Macaca fascicularis: one gene and its partners. The protein of the gene in region 1 purifies or fractionates together with the protein of each later gene. This does not show direct contact. Links are inferred from orthologs where the notes say so. Each region holds a gene or a part of one and is shown in the gene's direction. Other genes may lie near its edges.

Region 1 (5,759 bases):
GATTCTGCCACTTGCTGACACTGTTACCTTCAAAGAATGGGGAAAAGTGACTTTTTTCCCATTCTGTGAAGTTAATTTTTGATTAGCTAGTAGTATAGGAACGTACTCCCTGAGCTGAAAAATATTTCTGGGGAATCCAGATCCAGTACTCTCTTCCGTGGCCATCACCTGCACCCCATCGCCCTCTCCAGAGGTGACAAAGGCACAAATGAGGGGAATCTTTGAGGATCTTTTTCTGTGCACTTAAGTACATGGGTGCTGCTCCTAGAAACTCGTTTTTATCCTGTGATGATCGATCCCCACCCTGGCACCCCCACCCCCTGCCACACAAATGGGACCTTCCTGGGCATAAGGGTCCTTGACTGGCCTTCCTCACTTCACTCCGTGTCTGCTCTGGGAGTTCCTGTGCCTGGGTGGGAGGAGTCGCAGGGCACCAATGCAGAGTCCCTGGATTGCCCACCCTACACTGACATGCTGGCTCGCCCTCCCACCAGGTCCGCATAAAGATCCTGGCCAGCCTGGTGACACAGTTCAACTCGGGCCTGAAGGCGGAGGTCCTGTCCTTCATCCTGGAGGATGTGCGGGCCCGCCTGGACCTGGCCTTCGCCTGGCTCTACCAGGAGTACAACGCCTATCTGGCCGCGGGTGCCTCAGGCTCCCTGGACAAGTATGAGGACTGCCTTATCCGCCTGCTGTCCGGCCTGCAGGAGAAACCAGACCAGAAGGATGGGTGAGGGGGCTGACCCTGCACCCTCCTGTCCCCACGAGGCCCCCTCTTCTGGTGCTGCTCTCCCTTTCTGATTCTGACCACCTCCCTCTTCATCACCCCCCGAGTCAGTCCTTCTCGAGTCCATCCCAAGTCTTCTCTCCTCCTTCCCCCTCTGGAGGCACGTTCAAGGTTGTAGTTTTGCATGTGAGCTGCAGGTCGCACTCCCTGAGCTGTTCCCCAGCTCTGCCACTTGCTCTGAGCATGGTTTGAGTGGCTTTGTCACTCCCCCTGTGTGTCATTTTCCCATCTGTAAATAACAGTACTCACCCATGGGCCTGGAGATAGACTTCTCTACACCCCATTTCCTACCTGAGTTGGTTCTGTAGCTTCCTCCCTGTCCGTGGCCTCCAGCTTACTCATCTGTCCTCCACACAGCAGCTCCGGGAACACTTTGTTATATAAATCCTTTTATTACTTCCCCACGAGGAACCTTCCATGGTTCTCCATTGCTCTTAGGGTAAAGCACAGCCTCCTTACTGTGACCAGTGAGGCGTTATGTTATTCACTCTCTTTGGCTTTACTCCCTGAACATTAGCCACATTGGCCTTCTGTCTGTTCCTCGAGTGTGCCAAGTTCAGGGCACTAGTGCTTCCTGTTCTGTCTGCCTGGAATGCCCTTCCCTCAACTGTGTGTGTGGTTGGCTCCTTCTCATCTACCAGTATACTCAAATGTAACTTCGAAGCAGCCTTTTGAGGCCACCATATCTAAAATACCCACACCCTTCTCCACCCGCCGTCATTCCCTCCCATTTTTATGTTCAATGAATAAAGTTAGGAATCCCTGTTTGACAAAAGGAAGAAATGAGTTTCAGAGAGGTGCAGCCTCTGCCTAGATCATCCAGCCGGCAGCTTTTGAACCCTGGTCTTTTCACTTCCAAAGCTTTATAACCAGGGGCTTGAACAAGCAACCCCTGAGGGAGGGCCTGCTGGCCCTGAGCTCCTACAATTCAGTAGGGCCTGGGAGCCAGGCGGCCTTTTCCTCTGCAGCCATGGCCCTCCCTCCATCTCTGGCAGGATCTTCACCAAGGTTGTGCTGGAGGCGCCCCTCATCACAGAGAGTGCCCTGGAGGTGATCCGCAAGTACTGCGAGGATGAGGTGAGGACAGGCCCTGGTCACTGCAGCCTGGGCCAAGGGACAGGGCTCTCCCCTGAGGATTCTGAAGGGCACACAGCCTAAACCTTGTGGCAAGGGGTTTCATGAGGGACCGGGCTGTTTTGTCAGAGGCAGTCAGGAGAGAGAGCCCAAAGGCACAGTCAGGTGGGCTGAGCTCAGGTCCCTTTCCTCTTGCTGCAGAGTCGCACCTACCTGGGCATGTCCACGCTTCGAGACCTGATCTTCAAGCGCCCGTCCCGCCAGTTCCAGTACCTGCATGTCCTTCTCGACCTCAGCTCCCATGAGAAGGACAAGGTGATCCCCTGCTCCACTTCCTGGCTGCCCTCAGCCTGCAGTTTGCAGAGGCCACCTGTATCCTGAGGAACCAACTCGTTCTTAGTCCGCCTGTGGTGGCCAGCACAGGCTCCTCGTGCAGCCCAGTCCTGTGCTGGGGCCTGAGGGCATTGCCCAGCAGGGGAGCCAGTGTGGCCTCAGCCAGCAGTGAGGACCCAGCATGCTCAGCAGCTGAGCAGAGCAGTGTGCAGCTGCGGAGCCCTGGGGAGGGAGGGGCCGACCATCTGGTGGTGGGGTGGGCAGGGGAGGTGTTTCAAGGAAAGCTTCCTTCAAGAAGGGGAGATGTGGGCCGAGACCTGGAAAATGAATAGCTGGGTGTGCTCTAGACGAGGGGACAAATGTGCATATGCTGTGGTTGAGAGCGCCCTTGACCCATCCTTGCCTGCAGCCTTTTGCCCCAGCCCCTGCCTGGCAGCATGTTTATTCATTCAGCAGACCTTCATTGCACACCCCTGGCCCTGGCCCTGGCCCTGTGCTGCTGCTGGGATCAGAGTGCCCAGGACCAGCCCCTACCCTCACAGGTCCCGGCAGATAATATCTGAGTGAAACAGTGTTTAGCTGGCAGTAGGCGTTCTAGGGAGACTTGGCAGGGAGTGGCACTTTTAAGGAACTGAGATCTCCCTCTGCTTGGAGCTTGGTGAGCAAGGCAAGGAGCAGTGACGGGCAGATGGGCTGGAAAGACGGGCAGATGGGCTGGAGAGGCAGGCAGCGAGGTGGTGCTGTGGGTCCGGCCCTGGCCGGGATATCTGCCTCCTGCGCTGGGGACCAGCTCTGGGCCCTGGTAGCAGCTGGGCTGCCCCTTCTCAGGCTCGGGTCTGTTTTCACATGAGTGTTGCCACACTCGCAGGAATAGCTGTTCTTCCTCTTCCCTCTTCCCTGACCCTGCCCTTCTCCATCTTCCTCCTCAGGTGCGCTCCCAGGCCCTGCTGTTCATCAAACGCATGTATGAGAAGGAGCAGCTGCGGGAGTATGTGGAGAAATTTGCCCTCAACTACCTGCAGCTCCTGGTGCACCCCAACCCACCGTCTGTGCTGTTTGGAGCTGACAAAGACACAGGTTGGGCGCAGGTCATCAGATGCATATTGAGTGCTGCTGTGTCCGCGCTCTGGTCGCTGCGAGCAGAGGGGCTGAGTGGGGAAGCCACCCAGACACCAGTGACGGGAACGGGCAGGGCTGGGACAGCCACCTGGGGGCTGTGGGAGTCAGGGTAGGGGCATCTGACCTAGCCTAGGGGGTCAGGGAGAGAGATCTGGCGGACGAGGAGAGCCAGCCATCGGTGGGGCCCCAGGAAGGACCAGGCAGGGTCATCTCAGGCAGGTTCCCTCAACAGAGCCTTGGGTCCCCCAGGATTACAGACAGGTAGACTCAGACCCCGAGTAAATGGACCCTTAAATGGGAAGTCTTGGGGCCATGATAGGGCAGCACGGGAGGCCTGGCCCAGGTGCCAGGAAGCATTCCCAGGAGACGCACAGCCTTCGGGAGGCCCAGAGTCTGAGCAGGTGCTGTGGACCAGGCAGAAAGGAGGGCGGATGCAAAGGCAAAGAGACCAGGGCCTTCGGGACTGTTAGAAGGGGTGTGTGACCACCATGGAGGGCAGCAGGGCAGCAGCAGGCCGGGGCCACCCCATGCAACACCTGGCAGCCACTGGGAGGCAGCGAGCCGGGGGTTTATTCTGAGGCTACAGGGCGTGGCTGGGCTTGGAGGTGGAGAGGGACAGGGTCAGGATTGCACTCAAAGATCCTTCTAATTGCCTTGTGTGTTGGCAGTCGGGGAAGGCTGGAGGTAGGAAGTCCTGGTCCCACCCCATTTCCCTGCCCTAGAACAATTAGCTCCCCAGCCCCGGCTCCCTTCTCTGCCCTCCCTGGCTCCACTGCCCAAGAAGGGACAGTTACTGAGGGTCCGAGGGGGTTGGAGAAGAGTGTGGGCCAATCCGACGCCGCTCCTGCCCTGTCAGAGGTGGCAGCGCCCTGGACGGAGGAGACAGTGAAGCAGTGTCTCTACCTCTACCTGGCTCTCCTGCCTCAGAACCACAAGCTGATCCACGAGCTGGCGGCCGTGTACACTGAAGCCATCGCCGACATCAAGCGGACGGTGCTGAGGGTCATCGAGCAGCCGGTGAGGCCCCTGAGCCCACCAGGCCCTGCCCACCCACAGGCAGGGCTATGTCCCCAGCTCCAGCTCTTCCCCAACCTGCTCTACCTCAGAGTGTGCCAAGCCCAAAGGGTGGTCACCCCGGGTTGACCCAGGCTGTGTAGCTTGCGGGCGGTCCGCATGTCACTCATCAGTTCCTGAGGAAACGTCAGAGTGGCTCAGCAGTTAGGAGCCTAGAGCTGGATAGAGCTGGGTTCGTGTTCACTTGTCACTTTCTCACTGCGACCTCGGGCCTGTCAGTAAAACTAGGGAAGACATTCCAGTCCCTCCACGCTGATGCAAGGAGTCCATGAACTCAGGCACATAAACCTCTGTGTCACTGTCACTGTTTATGAGCTGACCTTCCCGGTGTTGCTAATGGGACTCTTTAGCTGTCATTACATAAGTCCTTCCCACCTCTCTCTCTCGAGCCACAGGGCTGCCCACAGGAGAAGCAGCTCAGTGACAGACTGTCACCTGAGATGAGAAGGTCTGCACTTCAGTTTGCAGCAGGGTTTGAAACCACTTTTTTTCTTTCTGCCCCTGACATTTTTGGATTACCGAACATTTTCATGATAAATGGGAGAGAGAACTGTATGTTAATCCCCACCTATCTGCCATTTGGGTTCAGTGGGGCCCTTACCTGGAAAATGGGGATAACAGGCTTGTAGTCAGGAGGAAACATTTTTAGCCCCATTCCCAAGGTGAGCCAACTGTGGAAAAGTGATCTCACTTTGCGGAAAAGTGATCCTGTGGTCTGTGAGCTTCCCGAGGGCAGAGACATTCGGTTTTAGTCAGGAGCGTAAACGTTCCTGGGTGAAGGTGGAGCCTGGCCCCAGCTCCTGTGTTTGGCGTTCACCATGGGGCAGGCTCAGGAAGCAGCAGCAGGTGGAGCCTGGTCTGGGCTCACAGCCAAGCCAGCCGCGCATGAGAAACCAAGTCACGAAGCGGGTGGGTGTGGGTGGAGCCAGAAACATCTTTACCAGTGAGTGAAGCACAGGGTAGGCATTCGAGGTCAGGTCGGGTCTGAGCCACACAGGAGTGGCCTGCTGGAGGACAGCCCAGCCAGGGCTGGGAGCTGGAGCAGGCCACATCCGGAGAGGCTGCAGGGAGAGGCCGAGGTTTCTCTGACCTCTCCCACCCTTCCCTACCTTTCCCCCACCCTCCAAACCCTGTCACCAGTCTCACCCTGAGCCCCAGCATTTCCCGCAGCCACCCTGCCGGCAGCACCTGAGCCTTCCCTAAGCTCTCACCCTGGGTGTGGTCATCCCTGTCTCTGCCTCTAGATCCGAGGAATGGGCATGAACTCCCCGGAGCTGCTCCTGCTGGTGGAAAACTGTCCCAAGGGGGCAGAGACACTGGTCACACGATGTCTGCACAGCCTCACAGACAAAGGTGACCCTGGAGACCCCCA
Region 2 (6,453 bases), on another chromosome or scaffold:
ACTCCAGCCTGAGCAACACAGCAAGACTCTGTCTCAAAAAAACCAACGACGACAACAAACAAAAAACTAGGCCCAGCAAGGGGAGAGACTTGCTGGGGTCCTGCAGCAGTGCAGTGGGTGAGACTGGCCAGTTTGGCCTGGGCTGGCTTAGAACTCAGGTCCATGTAACGTATGGACAGACTCTCCTGACTAGCACCTTTGTGAAACTAGTGCAGGGGGCCTTTATCATTCTGCATCTGGCAAGCCCTGCCACTCCTTCTTACAAGCATGGTGTTTATGTAATTTTCTTTTTATGGGAATGGCGTCTTCATGTTGCCCAGGCTGGAGTGCGATGGCACAGTGGCAAACGCACAATCACTGCAACCTCCAACTTCTGGGCTCAAGTGATCCTCCTACCTCAGCCTCCCAATTAACTAGCACTACTGGTGCACACCACCATACCCAGCTAATTTTTTGTAGAGATGTAGTCTCCCTATGTTGCCAGGCTGGTCTAGTACTCCTGGCCTCAAGCAATCCTCCAGCCTTGGTCTCCCAAAGTGTTGGGATTGCAGGCGTAAGCCTCCATGCCCTGCCTTATGTGCATTAATTACAATACACAGAATTACAAAACAAAAAGCAATGATATTGAAATGGCATCAAAATGCTTTAAAAACAAATTTCTGCTACACTAGCATAGATGCTTATTTTCAATGCATTAAATAACAAGACCCGGCCGGGCGCGGTGGCTCACGCCTGTAATCCCAGCACTTTGGGAGGCCGAGGCGGGCGGATCACAAGGTCAGGAGATCGAGACCACGGTGAAACCCCGTCTCTACTAAAAATTACAAAAAATTAGCCGGGCGCGGTTGTGGGCGCCTGTAGTCCCAGCTACTCGGGAGGCTGAGGCAGGAGAATGGCGTGAACCCGGGAGGCGGAGCTTGCAGTGAGCCGAGATCGCGCCACTGCACTCCAGCCTGGGCTGGGCGACAGAGCGAGACTCCGTCTCAAAAAAAAAAAATAAAAAAAATAAATAAATAAATAAATAACAAGACCCTACAATAATTTCAAAGCAGTAACGAATGTAAGTGACAGCTTAAGATACCACCTTGTAGGTGCTGCACAAACTGTTTTTTTTTTTTGAGTCTCACTCTGTCGCCAGGCTGGAGTGGGGTGGTGCCATCTCGGCTCAATGCAACCTCTGCCTCCCGGGTTCAAGCGATGCTCATGCCTCAGCCTCCCAAGTAGCTGGGATTACAGGCACGCACCACCACTCCCGACTAATTTTTATATTTTTAGTAGAGACGGGGTTTTGCCATGCTGTCCAGCCTGGTCTTGAACTCCTGACCTCAAGTGATCCTCCTGCCTCGGCCTCCTAAAGTGCTGGAGTGACGGGTGTGAGCCATCACTGCACAAACTCTTATCTGGAACTATCATTTACACTCACCCCAACTTGAAATTATGACACAGTTTCAGGCACTGCTAAGGCTGCTCCAGCAATTGGGAAAGGAAATGCTAAATTTCACAGAGAAAATAGGGGTGTCATTTTGTTCCTATACAATTTCATTACCCCACCCTGGTTAGAAAACCCTGAATTAGACCATACAGTGGCTCATGCCTGTAATCCCAGCACTTTGGGAGGCCCAGGCGAGTCGATCGCTTGGGGCTTGGGGCTAGGAGTTCAAGACCAGCCTGGGCAACATAGCAAGGCCCCCATCTCCACAAAAATTAAAAATAAAAATTTAAAAATTAGCCAAGCGTGGTGGTGCAGCTACTCAAGAGGCTGAGGTGGGAGGATCGCTTGAGCCTGAGAAGTTGAAGCCGCAGTGAGCTATGATCATACCGCTGTACTCCAGCCTGGGCCACCTAGCGAGAAAAGAAAAAACCCTGAATTAGAGACACGCTGCGGCCGTCCTTCTTCGGAGAGACCCGCCCCTCCTCAGACGCCTACCCGGACCCTCAGGCCAACGCCGACCCCTCTCCACACAGACTTTTGCAGCCTCAGTTTCCCTCCTCGGACGCCCCTGGCTCCAATCCTGGTTCGGGCACTTCCTTCCCCTCTGGCGTGTCTCTGCCCGGATCCCGGGGTTCCTGCGAGGATCACACAAGAACTCACTTGAAGTGTCCGGCGCAGTGCACTCCGACGGGGCTCTCTACCCGGTCCCCGCGACGGACCCGGCTCTCCCACGGGTCACCCTCTCCCCTGACGCGCAAGCGCAGCCCGCGTAGCCGACACACGCGGCTGGTTTCAGGTTTCCGGCGAGACTAGGCCGGCGTTCGGCTGGCGGCTAGCCGGGACTAGCGGAGCGGCGGGACTCCGCGCTCGATTGGCAGTGCCTGGACAGGCGCAAGAACCGGCGCGGGCTCTGGGCGCTCCCGGCATCCCTCGGGCGGCGGCGGCGGCGGCGGCTGCGAGGCGCAGGAGGAGCGTGTGCGGCGGGCCCGGCGGCGGGTAGAGAGGCGAGAGGGCTGCAGGAGACCGAGGGGGAGCCGGGCCGGTGGGGCCGCCGCCGCCGCCATGCAGGAAATAATCGCCAGCGTGGACCACATCAAGTTTGACTTGGAGATCGCAGTGGAGCAGCAGCTCGGGGCGCAGCCGCTGCCCTTCCCCGGCATGGACAGTGAGCGCGGGGCCCTGGCGGGAGGGCGAGAGCGACTCGAACCCCTGACCCGCTCCTCTGTGTTCCCGGGACTCCTTCGCCTCGGTCCTGAGACCTCCCCCGGCTTCCTCTGGATCCTGGGACCCCTCCCCTTCGGTCGCGGGACTCCTCCCTCTATGTCTTGAGAGTCCCTCCCACCTCCTCCGGGTCCTGGGACCCTCCCCTTTAGTTCCCGAACTCCCTCATCTGTGATCCGGGACTCTTCTCACTCCATCCTGAGACCTCCTCTTCTGGATCCCGGGACGCTCCCCCTTGGTTCCAGGACTCCTGACTCCCAGGTCCCCATTTCCACCGTCTGGGGACCCCTTTTCCCCTCACTCGAACTCAGGAGTTCACTGCCTCGGATCTTTGGCCCCCTGCGGCTGTTTAAAGGTAATCTGTAGGCGGGTAGGACCTTGTCCGTTCGCTTAATTCTTGAATAAGGGTGGGTTATCCTGGATTGGAACTCTCCCTCAACACTCTCCCAGCTACAGGAGAGTACTAGGATATCGCACCCCCTACCTCCCAACCCCGCTACATTGAGCGTCTCTTCTTTTTGCTTTCATCAAAACTAGGCTGTTGGAGGAGGCGTGCTGAGGGAAGGACCACCTCTCTGTAGGAGACCCCAGCTAGACTCTTAAACTTCCTTCTAGGACTCTCTCTCCTGGGAGCTCATCCTTAGTTTTTGGCCTGTCCCTACTTTTTTCTGGACCCCAACTCTGAGTTGTTCATCACACCCAGCAGCTGGTGTGGTCCCTTAGCCTGAACTCCCTTCACTCCTCCCTTTCACATGGTGGCTCCTGGCTCCCCATATCTTGTACTTTAAAAGAAACCGGTAGTTTTCTTTGTGTCTTCTTTCCTATCCGGACACACTTGAAATCTAATGCTATAGCCTTAAAGTCCGCGGGCTTGTGGAAGTCACTGAGTTCAATCCACAGATGGGGAAACTGAGACCCAAGCAGGGGAAGGGACTTGCTGACGACCACTCAGTGCATAGCAGAGCCAGGCAAGTTCTCCAGTGTTGTGTGCTGTCGCCCCGCACTACCAGCGGGGTCTCCCACGTCTCCCAGCAGCCTCTCTCCCCTCAGGCGGCCACACCTTCTCATGCACATGTGACCTCTGAGTCTGTCCCTTTCTGTGGTTTTTTTGTTGTTGTTTGTTTGCTTTTGAGACAGGGGCTCCTCTTTTGCCCAGGCTGGGTGCAGTGGCGCAATCATGGCTCAATGCAGCCTCGACTTCCCAGGTTCTGACAATCCTCCCACCTCAGTTTCCCAAGTAGTTGGGACCACAGGTGTGCACCAACACGCCTGGCAAATTTTGTGTGTGTGTGTTTCTTGGTAGAGACACTGTTTCACCATGTTTCCCAGGGTTGGTCTTGAACTCCTGGGCTCAAGCGATCCTTTCACCTCGGCCTTCAGAAGTACTGGGATTACAGGCATGAGCCACCACACCTGGCCTATATTGGCCTATATATATATATATATATATATATATGTGTGTGTGTGTGTGTGTATATATATAAATTTTTTTTGCTGCCTGTCCCACAACTTTACATGGTGATACTTCTGTACAAGATAGTTTCGTTGGAAGTTAAGTCATCAAGAAAAACAAGATAGTGCTTATAAAGAGACATCATCAGACCACCCTATTTGACACACGCACAAACACCATCGCCACTGTACACCCCCTAAAAAGCAGCTGCTGAAATTCACACACACACACCCCCTCTTACCTACCCCTCGAGTCCTGTGATAACTTCATCCCTGCACATGTGGCCTTTTCCTGTCTCTTTTTTTTTGAGATGGAGTTTCGCTGTTGTTGCCCAGGCTGGAGTGCAATGGCGTGATCTCAGCTTACCGCAACCTCCACCTCCCGGGTTCAAGCAATTCTCCTGCCTCGGCCTCCTGAGTAGCTGGGATTATAGCCTCCCGCCACCATGCCCAACTAATTTTTGTATTTTCAGTAGAGATGAGGTTTCACCATGTTGGCCAGGCTGGTCTTGAACTCCTGACCTCAAATGATCCGCCTGCCTTGGCCTCCCAAAGTGCTGGGATTACGGGCGTGAGCCACTGCGCCCAGTCGGCCTTTTCCTGTCTTGATGGCACTGGCTTGAGACCATGGAACCACCCATGCAGGGCAGATCTTTCCCTTCCATCCTTCTGCCACCTGACAGATCCACAAGCCTGTGAGGGGAGGTACAGTGGTGAGGGGCCCACATACCTGTTCTTGAGACCAGGGACACGCCTGGCCCTGGGTGCTGCCCCAGCCAGGGCTTCAGAGTTGGTAGGCACCCTCCACACTCACTGCTTGTCCATATCCTGTTCAGTTAAAGCCTAGTGAGGCCACAGCCCTTCCTCACCCATCCCTCCTCTTCATGCCCATCTGAGGTTTGGGAATAACTGTCACTTTGCCCATAAGGCATACTCATCCCATCCACATGAGGCTCAGTTCCCAGAACTGTGGATTTCTGAGCAGAAACAACTCTAACCTCTGAAGAGAAAGACCAGACCAGAGATACTTTCAGAATTTTTTTTTTTTTTTTTTTTTTTTTGAGACAGAGTCTTGCTCTTGTTGCCCAGGCTGGAGCACAGTGATGTAATCTTGGCTCACTGCAACCTCTGCCTCTGGGTTCAAGCGATTCTCCTGCCTCAGCCTCCCGAGTAGCTGGGATTACAGGCATGTGCCACCACGCCTGGCTAATTTTTGCATTTTTAGTAGAGACGGGGTTTCTCTACATGAACTCCTGACGGCAAGTGATCCACCCGGCAAGTGATCCACCCGCCGCAAGTGATCCACCCGCCTCGGCCTCCGGAAGTGCTAGGATTACAGACGTGAGTCACCACACCTGGCCACTTTCAGACTTTTTGAAATGCAAATAGAGTGACCTCCCTGTGACAGCCAAGGAATCTTTTGTGATTTAGTAAGGGGGGGCACGTTAAGTGGACTTCAGAGATGCTGTCATTGGTTTTTCAGCAATTCTAAAATGGTTACTTGTAAGGAAACTGTTTCTGATGCCAAGGTCAGTTTAGTCTGGAAACCGGGTGCTGGTGAATTCCTGGACTCATCAGAACAGCTAGTCCCTGGAGCCCACTGAATTCCAGCACACTCTTAACTGTGGGAATGAAAGGCTGTGCTTTTTTTTTTCTTTTTTCTTTTTGTTAACAAGCAACATAATCAAAAACAAAAGCACAACAACCTTAAAGCTGAAACAGCAATAAGTCAAACTGCTGCGGCAGTTCACAGATGTACCTGGGGTACATGCTTCCTCATTTCGAGGCAGGGACATAGGCACATGACTGTGCATTTAGGTATATATGTGACCAAAAAGAATGAGAGAAATGAATCCCAGCACTTTGGGAGGCCGAGGCGGGCGGATCACAAGGTCAGGAGATCGAGACCACGGTGAAACCCCGTCTCTACTAAAAATACAAAATATTAGCCGGGCGTGGTGGCAGGCGCCTGTAGTCCCAGCTACTCAGGAGGCTGAGGCAGGAGAATAGCATGAACCTGGGAGGCGGAGCTTGCAGTGAGCCAAGATCGCACCACTGCACTCCAGCCTGGGTAACAGAGTGAGACTCCGTCTCAAAAAAAAAAAAAAAAAAAAAGAATGAGAGAAATGGAAAACACTGGAGAACAGAAAGTATCAAGAACCTTTCATTAGGCAGTCCCAAAGCGCTCTGCTCTTTTCCTCTTCTCTACCTCTTTATCCTCTGTGGTTCCATTTCCAGCTGAACTTGTGACAATCCCAAATCGCTCCTTCCTCTTTTTCAGTTTCTTGTCATCTTCAGACTTTCTGGAGATTGAAGAGACATTCAAACCAAATCTTTTTTTTTTTTTT
Region 3 (5,759 bases), on another chromosome or scaffold:
TATTTTCCCACCTTCTTCTCTTCCCCATACCCAGGACTGGCAGCATTGGTTGTGATCGCCTGTCAGCCTGTCCTAGAATGTGGAAGTTGGTGTTCTCGCTGCCCATTGGTTTTATCTGTTAAGGCTGCTTTTCTAAAAGGACAATCACATGCGGGTCTCTTTGCTTCTCCGGGCTGCAGTTACCTCTTCTGTAAAATGGGGTCAGATACAGTGCTGATAGTTCTATGTTACTTAGATTGGACTCAGTCTTGAAAATTTATCTCATGACTGATTAATATTTGGGGATTTTAAAATATTCTGTCAATGAGTTATTCTGATAATGTGGTATCATTTCACACATGTAAATTAGAATTTAAAGGTTTGACACAGCTTATAGTGTTCTGATACATTTATGATACAATGCAGAGCTGTTATAGATAGCATTTTTGGCATTCGACTTTCTAGGAATCTGACCAAAGAAAACAAAAAATATGAAGAAGCTACATCTTAATTTTTGTTTATGGTTCTGAAAACTTGGAAAGTATATATGTAGCAGGAAGAGTATGGGTCAGTGAGATGTACCTTGTTCCCTAAATAGAATATGATAAATGCATTTTAAATGGCTATAAAGACTGGCAATATGGAAAAATTGCTGAATGAGGAGAGAAGGAGAATTTGTTTAAATTATAGTATAACTAGAACTAATCAAAACTGCTCAGGAAGAAAGTCTAAAAGAATATATATCAAATGCTAAATGTCTGTTGGATGTTTTTAATAATTTCTATAATGTGATTATTACTTTATAACAAAACTGTCCTTTAAAACCCTGTCTTCCTTTTTCCTCCCCTAGTCAAGCCTTCGCATTTCCCCACCTCTGCCCTTCCTGTCTCTGACAGGGGGTGGTCCCAGGGACCCTTTAAAGATGGGGGTAGGGTCTCGGATGGACCAAGAGCAAGCTGCTCTTGCTGCAGTCACTCCCTCCCCAACCAGTGCTTCAAAGAGATGGCCAGGAGCTTCTGTGTGGCCATCCTGGGACCTCCTCGAAGCTCCCAAAGACCCCTTCAGCATAGAGAGAGAGGCCAGGCTGCACCGACAAGCTGCAGGTGAGTGTGCCTTGAGCGTGTGTGGGGCCTGAGGCCTCATTCTGGGAGCACAGAGGAAGTGACCTTAGTTCACACGCTTGTGAACTGTCTAGAGGAGGCTTGGTTGCATGGTGAAGTCTCCAAATCTGCAAAGAATTATCTTTCTGTGGAGTAAGTGCTAATGGGAACAAACTCAGGAACTTCTTGAGGCTGAGTGGAGAGGAAAGAGGCAGATAATCTGGCACATGCATGTGCCACAGCACAAGGGGCTGGCTCTGTCTCTCACTTGTGCCCTTCCATGGAGACTGGCTGTGTGCTGCTCTTGCTTTTACTTCTTCCACGGGTGGATGTCCTCAAGAGAAACTCTGGAAGGAATGTCCAGAATTTTGTCTACCCTCTCCACATTCTAATTCAAAGACAGTCAGACACAACTCATGCTGGACCTTTCATCCCCGAGGCTTTCTGATTGGTACACTCATGGATGCACTGGGGAAGGAGGGGTCCATTTGTCAACCTCTAAGGTAAGGAATGTCACCAGGACAGGAATCCTTAAGGTTCTGACATTTAAATTATCTTAGGCTGGCCTTGGTGGCTCAGCACTTAAGCAGAGGCAGCAGGATGGCTTGAGCCCAGGAGTTGCCCAACCTGGGAAACATAGCGAGACCCCATCTCTATATATTTTAAAAGGTTTAAAAAATAAATTATCTTAAGTATGTATTAAGTTTGTTTTTCATCTTTGTCTAGTACCGCTCCAGGGAGAAGTTCATTAACCACTGGCTCTTCTGAGGTCCTGAATTTGATGACTAAGTTAGTGTTAGTTTCTCCATTCCATTTATTTCCGTGTATCTGTTTGCTCACAGAGTTGGGCTGGATCTCATTCTTCTCTGATAGTGCTGTGCCCTGTTCACCTAATGATTTTGGCAGCCCATCTTAGTACTTTTTCTGGTGCCATTGTTTTCATATGAAATGACATTACCATGCTTTTGAATGAGACCATTATATTCTGTTTTTGTCGTAAAAGATTGCTGACATTGCCCAGTTTCTTGCTGTAGCAACACCTTGGGCCTATTCCTTTTAGGAAGTGTCCTTCCACATCTTTGTCCTGAATGAAAATGATAGTTCCTTTCATTGGCTGTCTGCCTCTTTGCTGAAAGAGGAGGGTGAAATAAATGGGCAAGAACTAACTAGTCCTCACTAAGGTCAGTCTCTGATTTGGAAAGGTACAAACAGTGGGGACAGGATTGAAGACTGATTATCTTACCATGTTGACATCAAGGAAGGCCCATTGTCCATTTGGGTGCTATAAAGATGAGTCTGGCTTGGAACAGTTGTGACATTCTTGTCTTACTGGGTTGCTAGTGCTGGTTTTTATTGGCAGTGTCCTAACTTCTGTGATTAATGAGTTCAGAACCAAGACAGGGAAACAGAATAGAATGTTTCTCATTTGAACATTGGGGAGAAGGCCCATTTGTACCAGTAAGCCTGTAAGATGTTCTATTGCTCTGTTTATTTTCAAGTAATTATGAATTAGTAGTACTGTAAGCAATAAGATAAAACTGCTTTGTGGTTAGCATATTAGTTGAATGTTTGAAAATAACATGGGGTGTAAATTTTTACCCTACACATCTGGCTTGGCATTCCTTTCCATTTTAGTGGGGACAGAATTAGCAAAGTAGGATTATCATACTTGACTGAGTGGATTGGTGAGACATAGGTTTCTTGCTTTTCGGAATAATCATGGATATTCTCTCAGGCATCTGGGCAGGGATTGTGGCCAGTCAGGTTCTTACTGGACAAGCTCACCCCAGGGAAGAGTGGTGGCTTTGCTGATTTTCTAACCTCCCCTGTTTATCTCTTTGCCATCTACCAAAGCTGTGAATGAAGCCACCTGTACCTGGAGTGGCCAGCTTCCTCCCCGGAACTATAAGAACCCCATCTACTCTTGCAAGGTGTTTCTAGGAGGTGTTCCTTGGGATATTACAGAAGGTGAGCTGTCTCTAAGACCTCCTGCTTTAAGAGTAGAAGGGTGGGGCATGTCTTTCAGGAGCATGAAACTTGGAATTGAGGCCAGGGGCTGAATTCCCTGCCTGAGTTCAGGGGTATTACATGAGTGTCTGAGGGGAGAGGTGCATTTCATATACCCCCATAGTGCTCCTATGTCGGGAGCTTACACCGGAGATCAGCATCCATTTCTGAGTTGTCAGTCAGTGGGGATGAGCCAGGGAGGAGAATGCTGGTGATTCTGTGTTTGCGTCTTTACTGGGAAAGATGGTTCCTCAGCTTCTGCCATTGTTTTCTGTCTCTTTGCAGCTGGATTAGTTAACACCTTCCGTGTTTTTGGCTCTTTGAGTGTGGAGTGGCCTGGTAAGGATGGCAAGCACCCCCGGTGTCCTCCCAAAGGTAATATGCCTAAAGGTAATAAAGACATGGTAGGAGCTTTTTTTTCCCTTCCCTAGAACATAACTGCACCTATGGGTGCTGGGATGTCACAGCTGCATGTTGGTAACATGGTGGGCACTCCAGGGCACAGACCTGTCATCTGTCAGCACTTTCTCTTCAACCTAACACGTCCCTCTATTTCTTCGGAGCTAATGTTGCATCTGTCCAGACTTACACAGCAGTGGGAGCTGCCTCTGAAACCCCTTCCTTGTACACTTCTGTCTAAACCTGAACCCAAGCAGCACCTTTCCTCTCAAAATAAGGCGTTTGAAAAGCTTTCCCTTGCCTGCCTGTCCTGCCCAGTTACGTTGTTGCCTGACCTAATTCTGAAGTCCCTTTGGAGTTGGCAGGAATGAGGACCAAGCATCTGATTCCTCACTGGTCTGAAATGAGATCCCCTCCCTGTAGAAAGGAGCAGCTGCTATTTTCACCCTGCTCCATCTTCATTGAACTGAACTAATGGTTTAAGTAGGCGTTTAAAGCAATAACTGCCATCCTTCCTGCCCCCAGGAAAGCCTGGCTCTGCTGACCTGAACATGCTGTGTGTTCTGGCATAGAGAGCTGTGGTAATGGTGGGATCTCTCTGTCTCAGCTTGCCAGTCCTTTCCTTCACCAGGGTGGGAGGGAGGCCAACAACCCTGGGCATCTGCATAGCAAATGCTTCCACTCAACAAGACTTTTCAGGAGTAAAACAAAAATGTATCTTATACACAAGGCCTTCTTTCTTGGAAGAAACTCCCTGCTGCAAAGCCAAGGCTGAGGAGTGGCCACCTAAGGGATATTAATGTGATTTTTCCTCTCATTGGGAATAGGGTATGTGTATCTGGTCTTCGAACTGGAGAAGTCTGTCCGAGCCTTGCTTCAGGCTTGCTCTCATGACCCGCTGAGCCCAGATGGCCTGAGTGAATATTATTTCAAGATGTCCAGCCGAAGGATGCGCTGCAAGGAGGTGAGTTAGCATGATGTCCTTTCTAGATCAAGGTTCTTGGCATATTGAGGCACTGGATTTTCTTGGGGTAGGTGGATAGGTAGGCTGCAGGCAAGGAGTATTCCTGCTGAGGCAAGAAGGCTCTTCTTCTCCCACAATAAAATAGCAGTATCCTCTCAATTATATAAAAAAGAAAAGAAAGCAACCTTTGGGCCTTAATGGGGTATGTGCATGCACACATGCGTGTGCCTGCCCATGGTAATCAAACTGTCTCCCAGCCTTTACTCTACTCTTCTTTCTTGAAGCCAACACTTTAGTTTTAAACCTCTTGTCTTAGAATTGAAATTGAGAACAGCAGACTTCTCTACTTGTACTTAACTGATAAACCTACAGCTGTTTTTCCCTGGTCCTGCCCTTCCTGTGCCTTCTTACCTCCCAGTCTGTGAGGGTGAATTCCTCTTTAGCCCACATCCACCTGTGGGTCACTTCTTCATTCTCATTCGGGGCTTTATTTAGTTTTGTGGGTTTTCCCCATAAGATTCTCTCTTCCTACGTCTTTTCTAATATCAGCCTTATGTATCCTTGGCAGCATGGGTCTCTAACGAGTTTATTTCACCTGGGGATCTCATTGCTCATTCTTGGGCCTTATCCCAGACTTACTGAATCACTCTGGGTGGAATTTAGGAATCTCCAACTGAACAAAGATCCCCAAGTGGATCTAGTGGATAGTGTTTGAGAATCACTTGTCAAAGCAAGTTTTGAGCTCCGGAATCAGTGTGGTGTTAAAATCAGATTCAAGAGCACACAACTTTTGTGACATAGGACTAGACATTTAATATCTCTGAAACTTTGTTTCCTCTTCTCTTCTATAAAATGGGAAACGAAAATGCCTATTTTAGTAAAAAGATCAGTGATTGCCAGGGGTTTAGCATGAAGGGATGAATCAGTGAAACTATTCTGTATATGGTGGATATATGTCATTATACTTTGGTTCAAACCCATAGAATGTAAAACAAACACCAAGAGTGAACCCTGATGTAAACCATGGACTTTGAGTGGTGATGATGTGTCAGTATAAACAAATGTTCCACTCGCATGCGGGATCCTGATAGTGGAGAAGTCACACAAGTGTGGGGGCAGAGAGTATTTGGGAAATCCCCGTACTTTCTGTGAACCTTAAAGCTTCTCTAAAAACAATCTATAAGGTAAGAGGGGAAATGCCTATTTTATTGGGATGGTCACATTAGATTTAAAATAAATCCATGTAACAAAGCTGGCTCTTGTTCTGCGTTATTGAGAGGGCAGGCTCGTCCTCTGGCTACCCACAGTGA
Region 4 (5,759 bases), on another chromosome or scaffold:
GCCAAGACCCCCATCTCTACAAAAAAAAAAAAATTTTTTTGCCAGGCATGGTGGTACAGGCCCATAGTTCCAGCTGCTTGGGAGGCTGGGGTGGGAGGATTGCTTGAGGCCAGGAGGTTGAGGCTGCAGTGAGCTATGACCACACCACTGCACTCCAGTCTGGGTGACAGAGTGAGACTCTGTCTCAACACACGAACAAACTAAAAAACAGAAAAAGGAGCAGCTCTTTAATTCTTATTTTTGCTAGAGTTCAGTTTTACGACATATTTCCAAGGGGACTTTCATCTAGAGCAAGGAAATCCATAAAGATACACTTGTTGAGAGGGAATATGATCTATATTTTATTCTATAGGCATACACGCATACGAACTATGTGTCATACATAGTTGGCCCTTTGTAGCTGCTGTTCCACATCTGAGGATTCAACTAACTGTGGATTGAAAATATTTGAAAAAACAATAAAAGAAGATAATGCAATAATTTAAAAAAATATAAGTAAAAAAATACAGTGTAACAACCATTTACATAACATTTACATTGTATTAGGTATTATAAGCAATAGAGATGATTTAAAGTATATAGGAGGATGTATGTAGGTTGTATGCAGATATATTTTTTTTTGAGACAAAGTCTTTATTGTACATGCTGGAGTGTAGTGGCACATTCACGACTCTCTGCAGCCTCAAACTCCTGGGCTCAAGCACCTCCCTCTAGCTTCCCACATAGCTAAGACCACAGGCGTGTGCCACCATGCCTGGCTAATTTTTTTATTTTTATAGAGATGTGATCTCCCTATGTTGTCCAGGCTGGTCTTGAACTCCTGGACTCAAGCCATCCTCCTGCCTTGACCTACCAAAGTGCTGGGATTACAGGTGTGAGCCATTGCGCCTGGCCACCATTTTGTATGAGGGACTTGGGGCATCTGATGGTTTTGGTATTCGTGGGGGTCCTGGAGCCAGTACCCATGGATACTGAGGGATGGCTGTATATATAATTGTGCGAGTGTATATATATGTATGTACATAAGTTTGGGACAAAGTTCATTGGGGTGGATAGGCGAGACTGGGGTAGCCCAGAAACACCAGGCTGGTTACATTTGGCCTAGCCAAACAATTTTCTCAGTGATACACACACCATTTTCCATGTGTATTATAATGTATAGAGTGTTGAGGACTACTGATTTATAATTTTTCAATGAAAAAAGATGGAGAGTTAATGACACTGAATTTCTGAAGAGATAGTCAACAGAATCAAAAGCAGTTGTAATGACCTGAACAAAATTCCTTCATTTTTTACCTGGCCTAGTAGTTGCTTATTTGTAAATTACAGTCTTTCTAATAAAAACACAGAGAGAAAATTATCTGTAATTTTGTAGCATAGTATTGTTATGTTCTATAGGGATTTTACATTCTTGTTTTCTAGCAAATGTCCTGGAAACACTTCGAGGTGATGGAAATGTGTTAATAGCAGTGGACACAGCAGGCAGAGTTTTGGAACTTGCTCAACTTCTTGATCAGATTTGGAGGACTAAAGATGCAGGACTGGGTGTTTACTCATTGGCACTCCTAAATAATGTCAGTTACAATGTGGTAGAGTTTTCTAAATCCCAGGTTTGTTCTCATGTTGTCACTTGTAATAAAGAAGTTTGCTACAGTGATTGGGTCTGTGGAAGTGGGTGTCTTCATTGTTTTTTGGATTTTATTTTTCCCTTGAAGAGATTGTTAGTAATGATGATAACTTGCCATTAACCATTTACTGTTCTGTGTGCTTTAAATGTATTATTTCATTTAATCTGTATTTATTCTACTAAGTAGTTTCCCTTTTATCCCTGTTTTAAAGATTAGGCAAATTGCTTCTCTTCTAACTCTTTAGTATCCCAGTCTGTAAAATGGGGACAAAAATAGAACCTACCTCATAGCATATACATGTTAGAATTCATTGTTCTTTCTTTTAAATAAGCTTTTTGCCTTGAAATAGCAATCTCTGGGAGTAAGATTTTCATTTAGAACATATACCTTGCCTTTTCAAAAAGATTTAAGGTGATTTATACGTGAAATATAATGCAAAATTGGGTTTTTTTGGGATGAAAACTAGGGTGGGATAATCTAATGGGAAATGGAAGCAGAAAATAAGCTGCTTGTCAAAACATTACAAATTTAAGCAACCAGTGGGGGTAAAAGATAGAACTTGGATTCCTTGACTATTAGAGAATATATTGAAGTTATAGGATTTCTAATTCTTGTCATCTTTCCCCCCACATTAGGTGGAATGGATGAGTGATAAATTGATGAGATGTTTTGAAGACAAAAGAAATAATCCATTTCAGTTTCGCCATCTCTCTTTATGTCATGGTCTTTCTGACTTGGCCCGAGTACCTAGCCCTAAAGTTGTACTTGCCAGCCAACCTGACCTGGAATGTGGATTTTCAAGGGATCTCTTTATCCAGTGGTGTCAGGATCCTAAGAACTCAATCATTCTAACTTACAGAACTACTCCTGGGACTTTAGCACGTTTCCTAATTGATAATCCTTCTGAAAAAATTACAGAAATAGAGGTAAGCACTTGTATGTGAACTTTATCTTAAGACTGTTTGGGGGATACATTGTGCGTGATGTATAAAAAATAGTGACCAAAAATAAAACTTGAAGTTGTTTTAGGATTTTGATCAGAATTACTCTTGAGAGCCAGGAGTGGTGGTGTGTGCTGTAGTACCAGCTACTCGGGAGGCTGAGGTGGAAGGATCACTTGAGCCCAGGAATCTGAGGTCAGCCTGGGCAACATGCCAAGACCTACCCCCCATCTCTTAAAAAAAAAATTACTGTAGAAGAGAGCCTTTAATAGCACAAATTTCAGAGTTCCTTAACTGGAGGTTCTCTTTTTTTTTTGAGATGGGGTCTTGCTTTGTTACCCAGTCTAGAGTGCAGTGGTGCTGTCATAGTTCCGTGCAGCCTCAAACTCCTGGGCTTAAAGGATCCTCCTCCCTCAGCCTCCCAAGTAGCTGGAACCATAGACATGTGCCACCAGGCCTGGCTATTATTTTATTTTTATTTTTTGTAGAGACGTCTCATTGTATTGCTGTGGGTGGTCTCAAAAGAAGTTCTCATTCTTAAACTTTTCCTTGGTACCCTCTAGTTTACCCAGAGGGTAAGCCTATACAGTGTTTTCTCAGTCTCTGAAAGGTTCCTTTCCTGTCTCTTGCTTAATTTAAATCAGACTCTTTCCTAAAGACGTTCTTTATCCTGTAGCCCCCAGAAGTAATTACTCTTTCTTTCAGTGTTGCATGTACTTTGAATGGAGTACATGTCTTCCTTGTTCTGTATTGCAGCTTCCTAGCTATTTATCTTCCATTTGCAGTTTTTGCCTTCAGACCTGCTGATATGCTGACCCCTCCTTGTTTCTGACATTTAATGATCTCTTGGTCATTCACCATTTGACCCTGATTCACAGTCTTCCTGTCCACTTGTATTCAGGACTTTATTCTCACTGACTTTAGCTTCCATGTATATGATCTGTCCAATTCTTCTCAGTTACTTGACACCTTATTTCTTAATCTTTTCCTTCATCTTACCTCAGACATCCATTCCTGCTGTCATGCTATCTGTTCCTGTGGTCATGCCTGTAACCTTCTTTTGGCCGAACAGTCTCCAAGCATCTCATTCTGAATTTACAGCTGACTTTCCCTGTTATTCTCATGACAACAACTCTTCAGTTCCATTGGGACTTTCAGTTCATGAACCTCACCTTTATACTGTCTATCATCCTTCCAGCCTTAAACTCAGTGGTTCACAATTAATCAAAATTTTGCAAATATCTTTAACTCTCTTACACTTCTGTTTTAGTCCCTGGAAAGGCTTTGACCTTAGTTAAACTATTTGCTTGGTGCGTGCCTGTACTTAAGCAGCTTTATGTTTCTGAAGTTAAACACTACAGTGTAGACAGATTTGTTTTCACATGCATAACTTCACATCTCAGAAGGGGACCCTACACCAGTACTCAGCATTCAGTAGGATGTTCCCGTTCTCACTGTAAGGCAATTTTATATCTTCTTTCTCCTCAAACATCCTACAGCTCACTCTCAGCCTTCATTCATAGCACATGATCTTGTCTCAAACTTAACATAGAAATCGAAGCAGTGAGTCAGGAATTCCTTTATCTTTCCACCACTAAATATACTAACTTGATTCTGCATCTGCATTTGCTGCCTTATCTCCTGTTACAGGAACAAGACAATTAGCTCAATGACTAGTATACCCAAAGATCGTTTGCTTAATAACCAGTGCATCAGTTCTATCGATTTTTCAAAACTAGTATATCATTAAAGTTTGTAGCATTTGATATAGTGGGATGGTTAATAACTGCCAGAGTTGCAAAAGTTTAGGCGACTAAACCTTAACATAAAGCTGTAACATAAAGCAGTATCATAAAGCTGCTTCTTATTTTGTCTTTGTAGCACTCATGTAATTATTTAATTAGAGATAGACTCTCTCTCTGTCACCCAGCCTGGAGTGCAGTGGCACCATCACAGCTCACTGTAACCTCGAACTCCTAGGCTCAGGCTGTCCCTAAACCTCCCCCTAACCCACTCCACCTTGCAAAGTGCTGGAATTATACATGAACCACCGCACCTGGCCCTTAGCAGTCATTTTAAGGAAAGTTTAGTTTGTTAAAAGCTATGTGGTAGGGATATCTGTCTTCCAACTCTACTTAAGAAAAGCATAACATCAGTTACTAAAATCTGAGATATATGTACTATAATTATAGAATTGTTGAGCCAGGATTCTGAGCAAGCATAGCAAAGTAAAATGGTGTCTTTGAGGTTATTTAGGAGCTTGGAAATATAAGGTTAAAAGAACTAAGAAATACTTGAAACAATTTCATCAGATAGGAAATACTGAATTTGAAAATTTTAATTACTAGAAATTAAATTGGGTCTAATAAATCATTTGAGGAATTAGTAAAAGAAAAATGGTTTAAGTTTGGGAAAAAAAATAGACAGTGATGTTCAGAAGCATGCTAAAGAAATGAAAAACAGCCAAAACATCAAATGTTAAGTTTTTGATCTTTTTAATAACTAATGCTCATGCTCAGGGACCTTTTCTTGCTCACCTTCTTAGTGATAGTTCCTTTGCAGTTATCCCTCCTATCTTCGTTATCTAGCAGTTTCCCCTCTACTTGATCACATCCAAAACAATTTTTATTCTTCCCCTACTCCCAGTACTATTCTTCTGTCTTATCTCAGAGAATGCAGCACTTCCCACATATTCAAACCAAAAATCTGGAAGTTTAAAAAATGTTCACTGAAGTATAATATATACTGAAACCTACGTTAAGTGTATAGCATGATGAATTTTTACAAATTGAATGCACCTGTCTAGTCTGTACCCTGATCGAGAAATAGAATATTTCTATAGCGTGTTGGGCAGAGCCAACTAAGGTAAAAAATAGAAATGTAAAAAAAGAAATAGGGGACTGGGTGTGGTGGCTCACGCCTGTAATCCCAGCAGTTTGGGAGGCAGAGGCGGGCAGATCACGAGGTCAGGAGTTCAAGACCAGCCTGGCCAACAGAGTGAAACCCCGTCTCTACTAAAAATACAAAAAATTAGCCAGGCATGGTGGCAGGCGCCTGTAATCCCAGCTACTCGGGAGGCTGAGGCAGGGGAATTGCTTGAACCTGAGAGGTGGAGGTTGCAGTGAGCCAAGATTGCACCACTGCACTCCAGCGTGGGTGACAAAGCGAGACTCCATCTCAAAAAGCAATA

Evidence for each region.
Region 2: the proteins of SYMPK (region 1) and CPSF4 purify together in Homo sapiens (affinity purification with mass spectrometry; 4 studies listed by BioGRID and IntAct, counting the BioPlex papers as one, with this or other methods). This does not show direct contact. The link is inferred for Macaca fascicularis from reciprocal best matches to the Homo sapiens genes SYMPK and CPSF4.
Region 3: the proteins of SYMPK (region 1) and CPEB1 purify together in Homo sapiens (affinity purification with mass spectrometry; 3 studies listed by BioGRID and IntAct, counting the BioPlex papers as one, with this or other methods). This does not show direct contact. The link is inferred for Macaca fascicularis from reciprocal best matches to the Homo sapiens genes SYMPK and CPEB1.
Region 4: the proteins of SYMPK (region 1) and CPSF2 purify together in Homo sapiens (co-immunoprecipitation; 8 studies listed by BioGRID and IntAct, with this or other methods). This does not show direct contact. The link is inferred for Macaca fascicularis from reciprocal best matches to the Homo sapiens genes SYMPK and CPSF2.

What each region holds. Positions count from the first base shown.
Region 1 is NC_088393.1:53,906,247-53,912,005, reverse strand, and holds part of SYMPK (symplekin), read left to right. Parts: intron 1-494; coding exon 495-730; intron 731-1,782; coding exon 1,783-1,864; intron 1,865-2,062; coding exon 2,063-2,176; intron 2,177-3,123; coding exon 3,124-3,271; intron 3,272-4,169; coding exon 4,170-4,330; intron 4,331-5,631; coding exon 5,632-5,740; intron 5,741-5,759. UniProt on the Homo sapiens protein: Scaffold protein that functions as a component of a multimolecular complex involved in histone mRNA 3'-end processing. Specific component of the tight junction (TJ) plaque, but might not be an exclusively junctional component. May have a house-keeping rule.
Region 2 is NC_088377.1:48,024,593-48,031,045, forward strand, and holds the start of CPSF4 (cleavage and polyadenylation specificity factor subunit 4), read left to right. Parts: upstream 1-2,354; 5' UTR 2,355-2,494; coding exon 2,495-2,597; exon of another isoform or gene 2,598-3,008; intron 3,009-6,258; exon of another isoform or gene 6,259-6,438; intron 6,439-6,453. UniProt on the Homo sapiens protein: Component of the cleavage and polyadenylation specificity factor (CPSF) complex that play a key role in pre-mRNA 3'-end formation, recognizing the AAUAAA signal sequence and interacting with poly(A) polymerase and other factors to bring about cleavage and poly(A) addition.
Region 3 is NC_088381.1:68,600,552-68,606,310, forward strand, and holds part of CPEB1 (cytoplasmic polyadenylation element-binding protein 1), read left to right. Parts: intron 1-829; coding exon 830-1,082; intron 1,083-2,933; coding exon 2,934-3,047; intron 3,048-3,371; coding exon 3,372-3,476; intron 3,477-4,312; coding exon 4,313-4,449; intron 4,450-5,432; exon of another isoform or gene 5,433-5,759.
Region 4 is NC_088381.1:160,138,885-160,144,643, forward strand, and holds part of CPSF2 (cleavage and polyadenylation specificity factor subunit 2), read left to right. Parts: intron 1-1,422; coding exon 1,423-1,610; intron 1,611-2,263; coding exon 2,264-2,554; intron 2,555-5,759. UniProt on the Homo sapiens protein: Component of the cleavage and polyadenylation specificity factor (CPSF) complex that play a key role in pre-mRNA 3'-end formation, recognizing the AAUAAA signal sequence and interacting with poly(A) polymerase and other factors to bring about cleavage and poly(A) addition.